Pelodiscus sinensis: one gene and its partner. The protein of the gene in region 1 interacts with the protein of each later gene in a pairwise test. Links are inferred from orthologs where the notes say so. Each region holds a gene or a part of one and is shown on either strand. Other genes may lie near its edges.

The links.
Region 2: the proteins of TEX11 (region 1) and ATXN3 interact in binary tests that used the Homo sapiens proteins (3 or more experiments, as listed by UniProt). The link is inferred for Pelodiscus sinensis from reciprocal best matches to the Homo sapiens genes TEX11 and ATXN3.

The regions. Positions count from the first base shown.
Region 1 is NW_027465980.1:262,874-270,536, reverse strand, and holds the start of TEX11 (testis-expressed protein 11), read right to left. Parts: upstream 3,044-7,663; 5' UTR 2,913-3,043; intron 2,903-2,912; exon of another isoform or gene 2,778-2,902; intron 1-2,777. Other genes in the region: nuclear cap-binding protein subunit 2, read left to right, coding at 3,327-3,413, 4,145-4,326, 4,681-4,819, 6,089-6,187. UniProt on the Homo sapiens protein: Regulator of crossing-over during meiosis. Involved in initiation and/or maintenance of chromosome synapsis and formation of crossovers.
Region 2 is NC_134714.1:30,853,002-30,860,933, reverse strand, and holds the start of ATXN3 (ataxin-3), read right to left. Parts: upstream 3,076-7,932; 5' UTR 3,061-3,075; coding exon 3,020-3,060; intron 2,472-3,019; coding exon 2,393-2,471; exon of another isoform or gene 2,268-2,392; intron 1-2,267. UniProt on the Homo sapiens protein: Deubiquitinating enzyme involved in protein homeostasis maintenance, transcription, cytoskeleton regulation, myogenesis and degradation of misfolded chaperone substrates.

The DNA of each region.
Region 1 (7,663 bases):
ACACCCCTCAGCGCCCTGCCCAGGGCCACTGCTACTCCTGACACCCCCCCCCACTCCACACCCCTCAGCGCCCTGCCCAGGGCCACTGCTACTCCTGACACACACCCCCACTCCACACCCCTCAGCGCCCTGCCCAGGGCCACTGCTACTCCTGACACACACCCCCACTCCACACCCCTCAGCACCCTGCCCAGGGCCACTGCTACTCCTGACACACACCCCCACTCCACACCCCTCAGCGCCCTGCCCAGGGCCACTGCTACTCCTGACACCCCCCCCACTCCACACCCCTCAGCACCCTGCCCAGGGCCACTGCTACTCCTGACACCCCCCCCCCCACTCCACACCCCTCAGCGCCCTGCCCAGGGCCACTGCTACTCCTGACACACACCCCCACTCCACACCCCTCAGCACCCTGCCCAGGGCCACTGCTACTCCTGACCCCCCCCCCCCCACTCCACACCCCTCAGCGCCCTGCCCAGGGCCACTGCTACTCCTGACACACACCCCCACTCCACACCCCTCAGCACCCTGCCCAGGGCCACTGCTACTCCTGACCCCCCCCCCCCCACTCCACACCCCTCAGCGCCCTGCCCAGGGCCACTGCTACTCCTGACACCCCCCCCCCCACTCCACACCCCTCAGCGCCCTGCCCAGGGCCACTGCTACTCCTGACACCCCCCCCCCCACTCCACACCCCTCAGCACCCTGCCCAGGGCCACTGCTACTCCTGACACACCCCCCCACTCCACACCCCTCAGCGCCCTGCCCAGGGCCACTGCTACTCCTGACCCCCCCCCCCACTCCACACCCCTCAGCACCCTGCCCAGGGCCACTGCTACTCCTGACACCCCCCCCCACTCCACACCCCTCAGCGCCCTGCCCAGGGCCACTGCTACTCCTGACACCCCCCCCCCACTCCACACCCCTCAGCACCCTGCCCAGGGCCACTGCTACTCCTGACCCCCCCACGCCACACCCCTCAGCACCCTGCCCAGGGCCACTGCTACTCCTGACCCCCCCACGCCACACCCCTCAGCGCCCTGCCCAGGGCCACTGCTACTCCTGACACCCCCCCACTCCACACCCCTCAGCGCCCTGCCCAGGGCCACTGCTACTCCTGACCCCCCCCACTCCACACCCCTCAGCGCCCTGCCCAGGGCCACTGCTACTCCTGACACCCCCCCCCACTCCACACCCCTCAGCGCCCTGCCCAGGGCCACTGCTACTCCTGACACACACCCCCACTCCACACCCCTCAGCGCCCTGCCCAGGGCCACTGCTACTCCTGACACACACCCCCACTCCACACCCCTCAGCACCCTGCCCAGGGCCACTGCTACTCCTGACACACACCCCCACTCCACACCCCTCAGCGCCCTGCCCAGGGCCACTGCTACTCCTGACACACACCCCCACTCCACACCCCTCAGCACCCTGCCCAGGGCCACTGCTACTCCTGACACCCCCCCCCCCACTCCACACCCCTCAGCACCCTGCCCAGGGCCACTGCTACTCCTGACACACACCCCCACTCCACACCCCTCAGCACCCTGCCCAGGGCCACTGCTACTCCTGACCCCCCCCCCCCACTCCACACCCCTCAGCGCCCTGCCCAGGGCCACTGCTACTCCTGACACACACCCCCACTCCACACCCCTCAGCACCCTGCCCAGGGCCACTGCTACTCCTGACCCCCCCCCCCCACTCCACACCCCTCAGCGCCCTGCCCAGGGCCACTGCTACTCCTGACACCCCCCCCCCCACTCCACACCCCTCAGCGCCCTGCCCAGGGCCACTGCTACTCCTGACACCCCCCCCCCCCACTCCACACCCCTCAGCACCCTGCCCAGGGCCACTGCTACTCCTGACACACACCCCCACTCCACACCCCTCAGCGCCCTGCCCAGGGCCACTGCTACTCCTGACCCCCCCCCCCACTCCACACCCCTCAGCACCCTGCCCAGGGCCACTGCTACTCCTGACACCCCCCCCCACTCCACACCCCTCAGCGCCCTGCCCAGGGCCACTGCTACTCCTGACACCCCCCCCCCCACTCCACACCCCTCAGCACCCTGCCCAGGGCCACTGCTACTCCTGACCCCCCCACGCCACACCCCTCAGCACCCTGCCCAGGGCCACTGCTACTCCTGACCCCCCCCCACTCCACACCCCTCAGCACCCTGCCCAGGGCCACTGCTACTCCTGACACACACCCCCACTCCACACCCCTCAGCGCCCTGCCCAGGGCCACTGCTACTCCTGACCCCCCCCCCCACTCCACACCCCTCAGCACCCTGCCCAGGGCCACTGCTACTCCTGACACCCCCCCCCACTCCACACCCCTCAGCACCCTGCCCAGGGCCACTGCTACTCCTGACACCCCCCCCCACTCCACACCCCTCAGCACCCTGCCCAGGGCCACTGCTACTCCTGACCCCCCCCCCCACTCCACACCCCTCAGCGCCCTGCCCAGGGCCACTGCTACTCCTGACACCCCCCCCCCACTCCACACCCCTCAGCACCCTGCCCAGGGCCACTGCTACTCCTGACCCCCCCACGCCACACCCCTCAGCACCCTGCCCAGGGCCACTGCTACTCCTGACCCCCCCACGCCACACCCCTCAGCACCCTGCCCAGGGCCACTGCTACTCCTGACACCCCCCCACTCCACACCCCTCAGCGCCCTGCCCAGGGCCACTGCTACTCCTGACACCCCCCCCCCCACGCCACACCCCTCAGCTTCCCCTGGCCTCCCCCGAGGGCGGGTCACCCACCCCAGAAGCGCTCCCAGGCGACGAGCGCCGAGCCCCTCACGGCCGCAGCCCGCGCTCCCGGGGGAGGCCGGCGAGGAAGGCGACCTCCGCGCATACAATGGCGGGCTACGAGCCCCGCCGGGGACGCACGGTCACCTGCCGCCGACGGGCAGGGCTCCTGTCACGGGCAGCGACACTCGCCTCGCGCCACCTCAGCCAGGCACCGTTTCCCGCCCAAGCAGGCGGCGTCTCGCGCCGCGGAGTATGCTGGGATAAATCGTGCTGCGCGCGCACCCTGCCGCGAGCCAGACAACTACAGCTCCCAGAGACCCAGCGCGAGAGGTGGGCGGTGCCTCGCCACCATTTTATTGCTAGCGGCGGCCGAGCCTAGCGCGCTGATTGGCTTGCCGTGACGTGACGCACGTATACCGCGGCCCCTCACCAATGGGGTTGTAGGCCCGGCCCCCTCGCGGTGAGTAGCAGGCGCTTAGCCAATGGGCTGCTCGGCGCTTCCCTTCCCGGCTAGGCGGCCCCGTGCTGCTTCTGGAAGGTTCCGGGTCCCGGGCCGGGATGTCGGGGGCGCTGAGCGCCACGCTGGGCGGCCTCAGCAGCGACTCCTACTGCGAGATCAGCCAGTACCGCGACCAGCACTTCCGGGTGCGCGCAGGCAGGGCCCGAGCCTGAGGGGTGGGGGCAGGTGCACAGCGCCAGGGGGCGGGGCCTGAGGGGTGGGGGCAGGGTGCACAGCGCCAGGGGGCGGGGCCTGAGGGGTGGGGGCAGGGTGCACTGCGCCAGGGGGCGGGGCCTGAGGGGTGGGGGCAGGGTGCACAGCGCCAGGGGGCGGGGCCTGAGGGGTGGGGGCAGGTGCACTGCGCCAGGGGGCGGGGCCTGAGGGGTGGGGGCAGGGTGCACAGCGCCAGGGGGCGGGGCCTGAGGGGTGGGGGCAGGGTGCACAGCGCCAGGGGGCGGGGCCTGAGGGGTGGGGGCAGGGTGCACTGCGCCAGGGGGCGGGGCCTGAGGGGTGGGGGCAGGGTGCACAGTGCCAAGGGTTGGGGGCAGGGGTGCGTAGCGGCAGCCTGAGGGGATGAGCACAGGACCGGGGGGTGGGCACATGGGTGTACAGCACCGGCGGGGGACAGGATGCACAGCGCCAGGGGGCAGGTCCTGAGGTGCTGATGGCAGCCCAGGAGATGGCAGGGTGCAGTACCCAAACCTGAGGGAGGCAGAAGTGCCCATGCCCTTTGCCATGATTGCCATCTTGCACTTCATTGCTGGAGTAGGAGGGGGAGGTTCTCAAACAGGCAGAAGTAGCAGTTTCACAACCAGTGGGTCAGGCATTCCCTGAACAGTAGGTTGCTGTTTCCATTTACTGTTTGTTGTGCTCTCAGGGTAGCCGATACCTACAGGATAAGGCCCTGAAGCTCTCTTCCACACTGTATGTGGGCAACCTGTCCTTTTACACCACTGAGGAGCAGATCCAGGAGCTCTTCTCCAAATGCGGAGATGTTAAGAGGATTGTCATGGGGTTAGACAAGGTCAAGAAAACCCCTTGTGGCTTCTGCTTCGTGGAGTATCCTTTTCCGTTTTCTGTTGCCATAATTTTTCTGCCACTGCTTTTTGATTAATCGCATCCTGGGTGGATTATATCCCCTCAGTTCTGTTGAACATCAGCATGTTACAGAGCATATCTGGCCTCTCTGGAGGAGCTGGGAATGCTCCTGTGATATGTGAGCAAACATGAAAATTGTGAGCTTTCATTCACAGTACCAAACAGTTTCCCTCCTTCACAGGGTCTGCTATTTCTCTACCATCCTGCCTCAGTCACTGACATTGCTGTGGATATAGTCATTTCTCTCATTCCCTGTATGCAGCTGGCATTGACAAGCTGAACAACACTTTGAGTCTTCCTTATAACAAATTCCAGGTATTATACAAGAGCAGATGCTGAGCATGCAATGAGGTATATCAATGGCACCCGACTGGATGATCGGATCATCAGGACTGACTGGGATGCAGGGTTTAAGGAGGGACGACAATATGGGAGAGGAAAGTCTGGAGGACAGGTAAAGAAAATACTAGCTTCAGCACTGAGCCAGCCTTCCTTGGGACTGGGTGATGGGTGGAGCTACCTTTGGCCGATCCAGTGCAAAGTAGGGATGTTAGCTGTCGGTTAATTGAATTCTTAGCGGTTAGTTGACTATTTTATAGTCCGTGGGGGGAAGGGCCGGCAGCCATGCAATCTGGCCCCACTCTGAGGGAGCCCCCTGCCACTCTGCGCTTCTGCCTCTGTATCAGAGGCAGCAGTGCAGGGTGCCAGGAGGGAGCCAGTCTGCGAGGAGAAACTGTTTAAAAACCAGCTCCCCTTGTGGGCTGGCTGCTTGCCACCCTGCACTGCTCCCTCTGATACAGAAGCAGCAGTGCAGGATTGCAACAGTCCTGTCTGCAAGGGTCCAAGCTCCCTGTGGACAGAGGCTACTGGGAGAGTAGGAGGCAGTGGAGGCTGCCCCAGAGCAATCTCTGTCTGCAGCAACCCAGGCTGGCCAGCGACAGAGGCTGCTCCAGCAGCAGCCCCTGTCCACGGGGGGCTGGGACAGAGGCAGCAGTGTGGGGTATGGGGGGCCGAAGCAGGTGGCACCAGCTCCTGCTTCTCCCTCCCCTTGCTGCTTCAGATACAGAGGCAACGGGGACAGAATGCGAGTAGCCAACTAGATTAACCGACTATTCATTCACATCCTTAGTACAAAGGCAGTCATCCATGGCAGACCCAGTAATGAACTGAAGCCAGTCTAAAATTATTTTAAGATCACTAGAGTAGGAGCATGGTACTTAATGCCTTTTGAAACTACATTCCAAGCTCCCTATGGCCCAAAACAAACCGCTTTGCTCACTTCTCAAGATAGTGTTCTCAAAAGGGTGTAGCAATCAAGGTGGGGAGTGAGAAACAGGATCATAATGGGGATGGTGTGGTTCTAAAGCTAGTTTAATCATCAAATGATGCCTATGAGAAGATTAAAATTTCTTCCCAGATTTCCAGAGGAACAAAGCTTTAGGTTCAGGCTTTGGCGATTCATAAAGATGAACTGCAAAGCAAAACCAAACAGAATTTGGCCCTTCTCTGCTGCTTCATTATGTCTAATGATGGCCCCGCCATTAGAAAAGTCAGGTCTTCCCATCAGTCTCCTTGGTAATGGTTCCTTTGCAAGGTATTTTAAGGGCTTGCAAAGGCTTGTAATCTGAGCTTCAGCCCACCACCAATGTATGCGAAGAGGGTGCCTAGCATGTCTCTGTCTAGCCAGGTGCAGATGCTGATTTGTGTTACTGCTTTGCCCCAGGTGCGAGACGAATACCGGACAGACTATGATGTGGGAAGAGGTGGCTTTGGCAAAATCATTCAGATGCAGAAAACCAATCACCAGACCGTAATCTACTAAATGACTAATCTATCCCAGTACCTAGAGGGATGGTGAGCCTCTGCAGCTAGCTCTGGCCTCACTCTTTGGATGGGGGTGTGATTGGAGCCAGGTTCCAGCAAAAGGCAATACGAGACTGGCTGTTCAACATTTGTTCATTTCTCATCTCTCCTGGGCTGGAATGGCTGATCTATTGTGATACAGGGCAGCAAGAAAATAGAGTGGCCAGCGCTGCAGAATTTCTCACTAAGAATAAGTGAGACATGTCCCGCTCAGACTTCTGCCTCCAAGTTGTCATTGCAGCTGTGGTTGCTCTCGAGCACAGATTTCTGAGAAATACAACAGCCATCAAAGCCCGCCTTTCTGCTTGTGCAGCTCTGGGACAGAGGGAGGAGTTTAAAATATGTAATTTACAATCTTGTTTGCCTCTGTAAAGCATCATTCCTGATATAAATTAGGGAAGCAAAGCAAGATCTTACTGGCCACTTGCAAGTGCTTGTCTGAACTCTGGACCCTTTGCTCAGTAAGCCCTGCAGAGCCTTAGTCTTTGCTGTATCTGTGATGCTGCCTGCTGTTGCAGAGCGTCACTATTACAATGTGGTTTTGTTTGTGTCTGGGTTTTTTAAATAAACATTAAGTCCTGTACCTGCTGCAGTTTGCGCTTCATTGCCATTGGGCATGTGGCAGGGCTTTTGGGGGACACAACCTGTTGGCATGTCGGCTGCTCTCTGACCACAGTGGGGCAGTCGTCCTGTTTGCTGTGATCTGGGTCTTCCTTTTGGTGCTGGCCTCATTTGTCTTCCCATTGCACTCTGTGCTAGTAGCGGGTTTGTCACCTCGTGAAATCACCAGTAAAGTTACACTTTGCTGTGTGTACTAAGATGCGAAATTAGTCCTCAGTTCCCTGCATCAGTGAATGCCAGGAAGTTTCCCCATTTTCTGCCATCGTAGTGCCAAGTCCTGTAGCATAGAGCACATGAAGCATCATGGGGCCAGACCAAGAAGCAGGAGCTGCAGGGCATACTGCTCTTTCTTGAGTCCTCCAGCTGGAGAAAGGGAAATTACCCTAGCATACAGTTCCTGTAACGCATTCCTGCATAATGAGGTGCTGTAACAGTTTCTTCTTTTGCATTAAATCACATACTTTAGCAGCTCAAGGCCTCTGAACTTCAGAGGGAAAAATGTCTGCCTCTGTCCTATTCAGTGGCAGGACACAACCAGGCCTCCAAGCACACTCTGAGTTACCCAACAGCCCTGATAACTAAGGAGTAATTGCCAGAGAAGTGCTTACACAGGCACAAACAAGGAGTCCAGTGGCTCCTTGAAAGTCTAACCATTTTATCAAGTTATAAAGTTTTTGCTTGTTGCAACTCACTTCATCAGATGCATGAAGGGAAAGAATCAGATGGTAGAGAAACAGAGATGGGAGCATTACATCAGCACTAATTCGATCAGGGTGGATGTGGCCCACTTCCAACTGTGGTAAAGTGAGAATAC
Region 2 (7,932 bases), on another chromosome or scaffold:
CCCACCCTCCCATGTACCCTTTAGGGAGAGCCAAAAGCCTTCCTCCCCATTCATATAGGAACATTTCTGGTTTTTCCCAGGTAACAAGTGGAAAGTGCAGTTTGCTCCATTCCTCAATCTGGCTATGGAGTGCAGATGTGCCTGGACCAGCTGCAGCCAGGGGACATCCACCCCCCTGGAGCTGATGCAGCTCCAGTAGGTGGAGGGTAACAACCATAGAGAAGGACTTCTCACCTGGCCCTAAGCTGCTGCACGAGAGCAGTTCTTTCCCCAGGGAAGCCTGCATACTGTACCCCCAGGTAATAATTTAAAACAGCGTTTCCCAAACTATGGGTCGCGGCCCAGTACCGAGCTGCGGGAAAAAAATACCAGGCCTCAGCATGGCTGCCGGGAGAGGAGCAGAGCGTGGTGGGCTGGGAGGAAGGAGGGAGGAACCAGCCGCTGGGAAGCAGTGCTGGGGGCAGCGGGGCTGTCCCGGTGGAGATCCGGGCAGGTGGGCAGGCAAGCGGGTGGCCAAAGCAGGGCTGGGAGCGGCGGGGCTGTCCCACAGAGATCCAGGCGGGCAGGCAGGTGGCAAAAGCAGGGCTGGCGGCAGCGGGGCTGTCCTGGTGGAGATCTGAACAGGCAGGTGGGTGGGCGGCCAAAGCAGGGCTGGAAGCAGCAGGTCTGTCCCGCGGAAATGCGGGCAGCGAAAGCAGGACTGAGGGAGTGGGGCTGTCCCGTGGAGATCCGGGCATGTGGGTGGGCGGCGGAAGCAGGGTTGGGGGCAGCGGGGCTATCCGGTGGCGGAGATCAGAGAGGGCAGGTGGCGGAACCAGGGCTGCACGGGGGATAGGGGGAGCTGGCCGGGGGAGATCAGGAGGAGGAGGACGGGAGAATCAACTGCCAGAAGCAGGGCTGGACGGGGGTAGTGGGGCTGGTGTGGGGGAGAAGGGGGGTCATCAGGGGAGCAGGGCTGACCGGGGGAGATTGGTAGGTGGTGGGTGAACCGGCTGCTGGAAGCAGGGCTGGACAGGGGCAGGAGGGCTGGACTGGGGAGATCGGGAAGAGAAAGGGGGGAAGCGGGACTGACCTGCGCACATGCAGACCCTGCAGACCCTGGCAGATGAGTGAGTCTGGCCGGAGATTCCATTTTGCCCCCTCTCCCCCACATACCCTCCCTGGAGTAGTTGCGAACTGCCTGGCAGGTAGACACACTCAGACTGCGTAAGCACATCTACCAGCCAGGCAGCTAAGGAATAATACACCTAATTATAATAAAATGTACCTAATTAGAAAATACCAGGCATTTTATATGTCTGGTAATTTCTTTCCCAGACAAAACCTTCAAATACCGGACTGTCCAGTACAAAACCAGACACCTGGCAACCCTACCCTTCCTTCCACCCTCCTTCCTAGCCAGATACCCTACCCCCAATCTGCCTGTGCTCCCGCCTCCTGAAGTGCTCATGTGGCGCTGGGTCCCCCAAGCCCTGGCCCAGGCTGGGTGGAGAATGTAGCCGGGTGAAACACTGAAAATTTATTCATTTTTCATTCTTTTTTTTTAATATGCGTTTATATTTTTGGACTTCAAAAGACAATACTGAAAAAAAACAGATTCCAACTAAAGTAAAAAGTTTGGGAAACCCTGGTCTAGCTAGCTTTCTATCCATCTTACAGTCCATTTATCCAATCCATATTTCCTTAACTTGCTGGCAAGAATATTGTGAGTGACTGTATCAAAAGCTTTGCTAACGCTGGCACTGGGGGCTTTGGGAGGACCAGAAACAACTTATCTGAATATTCATCTTTTGCTTATTGAATATGCAAATGAACGTTACCAGTCCTCCAAAAGCTCATGAATAGATTTACTGGTCCCCGTGTCAAAAAGTTTGGGAACCCCTGATTTAAAAGAAGAAATGCAAAAATTAATTGAGTTAAGGATCCAACGATACCAGGTAAATCTCCTAATGGTAAATAATGAACGGGACAGATCACTGACTCAGAGCAATTGAGTTCCCTTGGTAAACTGGCCACAAGCAATCAATATGCATTTCCATATTGCCATATGTAAATACATACATCTGGGAACAAAGAATGTATGCCATACTTTCAGGATGGTGTACACTATCCTGCACAGCAGTGACTTTGAAAAAAGGTTTGGATGCCGTGGTAGACAGTCAGCGAGACATGAGCTTCCAATGTAATGCTGTGGCCAAAAGAGCTAACACAATCCTGGGGGCCATAAACAAAGGACTCTCAAGTAAGAGTAGAGAAGTTTTTCTTGCCTCTGGTTTTGGTACTGGCACAACTGCAGCTATGATATTGTTTCCAGTTCTGATGTTCACAATTCAAGAAGTGGGTTATCCAAAGAGCCACGAGAATAAGCAAAGGATTAGAAAACATGCCTTACAGCAGGGCTACTTGGCCCACAGCCCGTTTGTTTGTGGTCCGTGATGAGGTTTGGATTTATGCAGGGCTCAACAGGCGGCCTGCAGGTGGGAGCCAAAACAAAAAAGTAGTCAATATAATGGTCTTCTGCTGATATGTGTTTTAGTAATCAAATTCCTGGATTGTCATTACTCATTAAAAGTGCTGTCATATAGATGGAAACTAGGTAAATATTGCATTTTATTAATATCAGCAGAACTGACTTAAATGGGGTCTGTGTGTTGAGTAGTCTTGCCTTAATTTTTGTATTCATGCCCCTCAACGTGAAAGAAGCTATCTGCATGTCCATGCAACCACACTGAAGTTGCAGCCCTTGGCATATGCTTTGAGAATCATTGCAGCCCCGGGGTCCTCCAAAGCCCTGCCTTACAGCAACACACTCAAGGAGTGTGATCTTTTTATCTTAACAAAGAAATGGTTAAGGGGGGCCATGCTCACAGTCTATAAGTACCTACATAAGGAACAAACAACTAATAATGGGCTCATCTGTCTAGTAGACAAAGGTAGACATGACCCAATGACTGGAAGTGGAAGCTTGACAAGTGCAGACTGAAAATAAAGCATACATTTTAATGCAGAAAGTAATTACCCACTGGAACAATTCACCATGGGTGGTGGTAGATTCTCCATTACTGTCAATTTTTAAATCAAGATTGGATGTTTTTCTAATAGATAAATTCCAGGAATTATTTTGGAGGAAGTTCCACCTACATGGGAGGTCAGGCTCACTAGATGATCACAATGGTCCCTTCTGTCTTTAAAATCTATGAAAACAGATGTCACAACAGAATAGAATATGTTGCTTATTGCTTCAGATATTTAACTAGACTATGGGACAGTGCCCCCTGCTTGCTATGCTCACCAACCCCCCTGTCTCTGGGGGTAAGCAGACCTGGCTCTCCTGCCAGTGAGGGATGGGGCCATGTCAGCCCTAGCCTTTTGGATCTCCACCCCCGGCCACAGGTTCCACACTGGATTTGGCTTCTGGGGAAGCGCATGTGCTGTTATGGGATGGGAAGGGGAGGGGAGGGAACTGGGGCCTGGAGCTCCATGGCCCACAGTCCACCCCCCCTTCCATTATTACCCCCATACCCCTGCCTCCATTCATATACCCACCATCCTCCCAAACCTCTCAACCTCCCCATCACCTTCATCCATCCCTATCCTCACCCCCTTGGCTCCATTCTTACAACCATTGTCCCTAGCCCCTCTCCCCCCCTGCCTATCCCTACCCTCCCATCCTTCTCTAACCCCTCCCCTTCCATACCCCTACACTGCCCATCCCCCTGCCTCCATTCCTATATCCCCCTTCACCCCCATCCTCCTTTACCACATCACCCTATCCCCCTTCCTCCCTCCCTCCACACGCTCTGCCTCTCCCACAAATGGGAAACCTAACCAGCAAGAAAACAGCACCATTGGCTTGGCAGTTGCTCCAAACACTGCTGGGCTGTCCCTGTGTGACCCCTCAGGGGGCAAGGGAATTAGCCTTCCAACTTGAGCCATATGGAGTCCTTTGGGTGGGGCGGCAGCATGTGAGGGAGGGGGTAAACCACCAGCCCATGTGGCATGGAGTCTGGGGCGGGGGAGGGGACAAAGGCCCAATGGGGGCAGCATGGTGGGGAGAGAGAGCTAAGCCCCCAACTTATGCCTCATGAAGCTGGCAGGGGTGGGGTGTGGGTGAAGGCCCCAGTGTGGGGGGAGGTGTTCAGTGGGTGGGGGAACCCCTCACCTCTGCGCCCCTTGGGAGCATTTCCATGCAGTCAGTGACAAAGGAACCTGGCATGCCCCATGCACTGTAGGACTGAGCTAGGTATCCTGTTGGCAGGAGGATGCAGAGAGCCAATCCACCCCCACTTCCTCCACCAGCAACCCACAGGCAAGGGCACACATCAGGGACACAGACATCTCTGCCTCTATTCTTCTCAAGTGGCTCCTGGCTGTGACCCAAGGCACCCAGGACCAAGTGGGCAAAGGGAGGCTGTGAAGTGGCTGCCACACATGGAGTTAGGCCACCCTGCTTCATAGCTGCCTACTCCCCAGCTCAGCTCCACCACTGCCTGCTCCAAAGAAGCTTGAGTGGCCACAGGCTAGACAGCACCCACCCCCAGCTCCCTATAGCTCCACTTTTCCATGTGACAGATGACTCCACAGAGCCCGGGGGTGAGAGAGGCTGGGGGAGTCAAAGTGACAGACGACATCACTCTGTCATCCCGCTGGAAACTTTGTTTTTATATATAGATGTTTTAATTCCACCTCAGTAATCTGGATTACTACATTGTCAAATAGCAAATGTTTTCATAAATGTATACACGTTTCTTGTACTGCACACTGATGTAAAATAATTGCACCTTACACTACTTAAACAATAGCAATTCCTGTGCAACTTTGATCTTATTAATACTACTCTACCTATTAATCTAGTTTCAGCAGAATTACTTTTTTCATTCCAAGTCTGTGAAGCCATCTTTCCATAGGAACTTATTTTAAAAACAAAAGAAGTTGTGGTTTTTTAGGTTGCCTTCTTTGGAAGGGGCATTTAACTCAGATAGGAACTAGTTTGGTTTGATTTAGTTACTGTATCTCTCAGTAACTAGAGCAACCTACATTTACAAAAGGAAGTTTATTAAGAATTATAGTATGAAAAACTTGTTATTGGTAATGATTAAAGTACACAAGACATAAGCAAGACATGGGAATGCAATGGTATGGAAGTTACTGTTTAGGACTCTGAAGGCAATCATGAATAGCAGAAGTATTTGCCATTGGAAACAAAATATTTAGCACTCATATGGTGCTTTACATCTTCAGAAACACAGTACTAACATTAAATAAAAGTCTTCACAACACCTACTTTGAAACAGGTTTCATAATCCCCACTCTGTACATGCAGAAACTGAGGCAGAGAGAGGTTGCTATGAACAGAGGCACAGCAAGATGGTGCCAGAAGTCACAAATAAAACCCACATCTCCCACTGCTCATCTTTATAAGCATTTCTCATTTTAAGCCATTCTTCAGTCTCAAGAGAGTAAAAACTTCATTCTGCACAATACTATTTTTTCTGTACTTTTTAAAAGGTTCTAGAAATAAAACCTCACCATGGCAAACAAACTATATAAAAAGGAGTAGTATGGACACTGCTTGTAACCACCTTTGAAAGGTACCTAGATTTCTTCTAAGGTGTAGCTGGTTGAACTGTCATTTTACCTGGCTTTCCCCTTCCACTCGAGAGGAACCTCATCAGCACTAAGTTATAGAAGAAGGCAATATAACATCAAGATCAATGTGGATAAGGCAATGGAGTCAGGTAGTCGCTTTGGGAAGCGTTAAAAAGACAGCTTCAAGTACTACCCTGCTCCAAGTCTTCCACGGGATAGAAGAAATTCATCAGCCTCCGCATCCAGCCATGGGCTGCAACCCCCCCCCCTCATTCCTTCGCCCCAGGCACTGCCACTGACTAACTCCCCTCCCTACGAAGGACTGTAGGACCTCTCACCCCACCCCACCCTTCCTCTTCTCCTCCAGCCCAGCCCAATCATCAGCTGCTACCCAATTCTCTGAAATACCCTCCTATCCCCCCGTCCAACCTAGGCTGTCAGCTCCGCCCTCACCGCTCCCGCCCCCCGCTCAACCAAAAGTACCCCCTCCCCCACAGCCCTCTCACCCTCTCGTGGAAGATGGCCTCCATGTTTATTTGTCCCAAGCCAGCAACCTCCACTTCACGTGACTACACCCCAATCTCAGTACCGCCAATCATCGCAGCTGTCTCGCACCCCTTCACCCTCTGCCTTCCACGTGATCTTACCCCGACCAATAAACCGAGGCCTGTCCACCTCCCTGACAGTCATGTGATCACAACATCCGTGCCTGCACTGGAGTCGGGAAGGGGGGGGGGGGCGGAAGTGGTTTTAGAGCTCGCGCACTGCAGGTCGCTGCAGTTACAGCCTCAGATCCGGGCTCGTAACTATTCCAGTCAGAGATTTACCGGCGCTTACAGCCAGTCGATGAGCCATGCGGTCCCAGCTGCGTGCACTGTAACTGGCTAGAATTGTGCGTCCTTCCCCCGGTGTCTCAAGCCCAGGTTGACCAGCAGTGGATGGAGATGGTCCCGCACCTTTGTGGTATTTTAAGGAGGCGGCAGGGTCTGTTATATGTGTACAGGTGCCAGGCCCCCTCAAAATCGACCCTGTTCTGTATGGTGGTAACTATTGTTACTTCTTAGCTAGCCACAGTATTATTCTACACCAACTCAGAAATTAACTCTGATAATCTGAAGAAGTGGGCTGTGCCCACAAAGCGCATGATACCATCTACAATACGTTTTGTTAGTCTATAAAGTGCTGCTAAACTATTTGTTGTTTTTGAAGTTTTTCCTGTTACAGACTAACGCCGCTACTCCTCTGAAACTTCAGAAATTAATTTAAATCACTTTCAGAGTATATTATCCCATTTCCCATAATTGGCCATTCAACTGAAGGGAAAAATTGTCAGCTGGATTTAGGGCATTTTAATGAAATTAGGTGGAAGAAGCCTCCCTCAGTAGGCCTTATTGCAGTCGCTGTGAGTGGGTACCACTGATAGCACCAGACAGATATTTGACAATGAGAAGTGTTAACCATAGGCAACAGCCAACTAGAAACACACTGGTGCATAAAATATTAGTATTGAAAGGAGGAAAATGGGAATGGGCTCTAGCAAAAGATAGGCGCATGAAGATAGAACAGAGCAAACAGAAAACAAAGAGATAGGAAAGGGTATTTTTAAGAATAGTAATAGAAATGTAGCTGTGTTAGTCTGGTCTAGCTGAAACAAAAACAGTACTATATAGCACTTTAAAGACTAACAAGATGGTTTATTAGGTGATGAGCTTTCGTGGGCCAGATCCACTTCCTCAGATCAAATAGTGGAAGAAAATTGGCATGACCATATATACCAAAGGATACAATCAAAAAAATGAACACATATGAAAAGGACAAATCAAATTTCAGAACAGAAGGAGGATGGGGGGGGGAGGTAAGTGTCTGTGAGCTAATGATATTAGAGGTGATAATTGGGGAAGCCATCTTTGTAACCGGTAAGATAATTAGCATCCTTGTTAAGACCTAAGTGTCAAATTCAGAGAATCCTTCATGATTAAATTTGACACGTTACACCTAGGTCTTAACAAGGATGCTAATTATCTTACCCATAACAAAAATAGCTTCCCCAATTATCACCTCTAGTATCATTAGCTCACAGACATTTACCTCCTCCCCTTACCCCCTTCTGTTCTGAAATTTGATTTGTCCTTTTCATATGTGTTCATTTTTTTGATTGTATCCTTTGGTATATATGGTCACGCCAATTTTCTTCCACTATTTGATATGAGGAAGTGAGTCTGGCCCACGAAAGCTCATCACCTAATAAAACATCTTGTTAGTCTTTAAAGTGCTACATAGTCTGGTATTTTTAAGATTACAGTAGCATCAGAAATGGGTTAGACTCTTCCTAAATATGAAGGT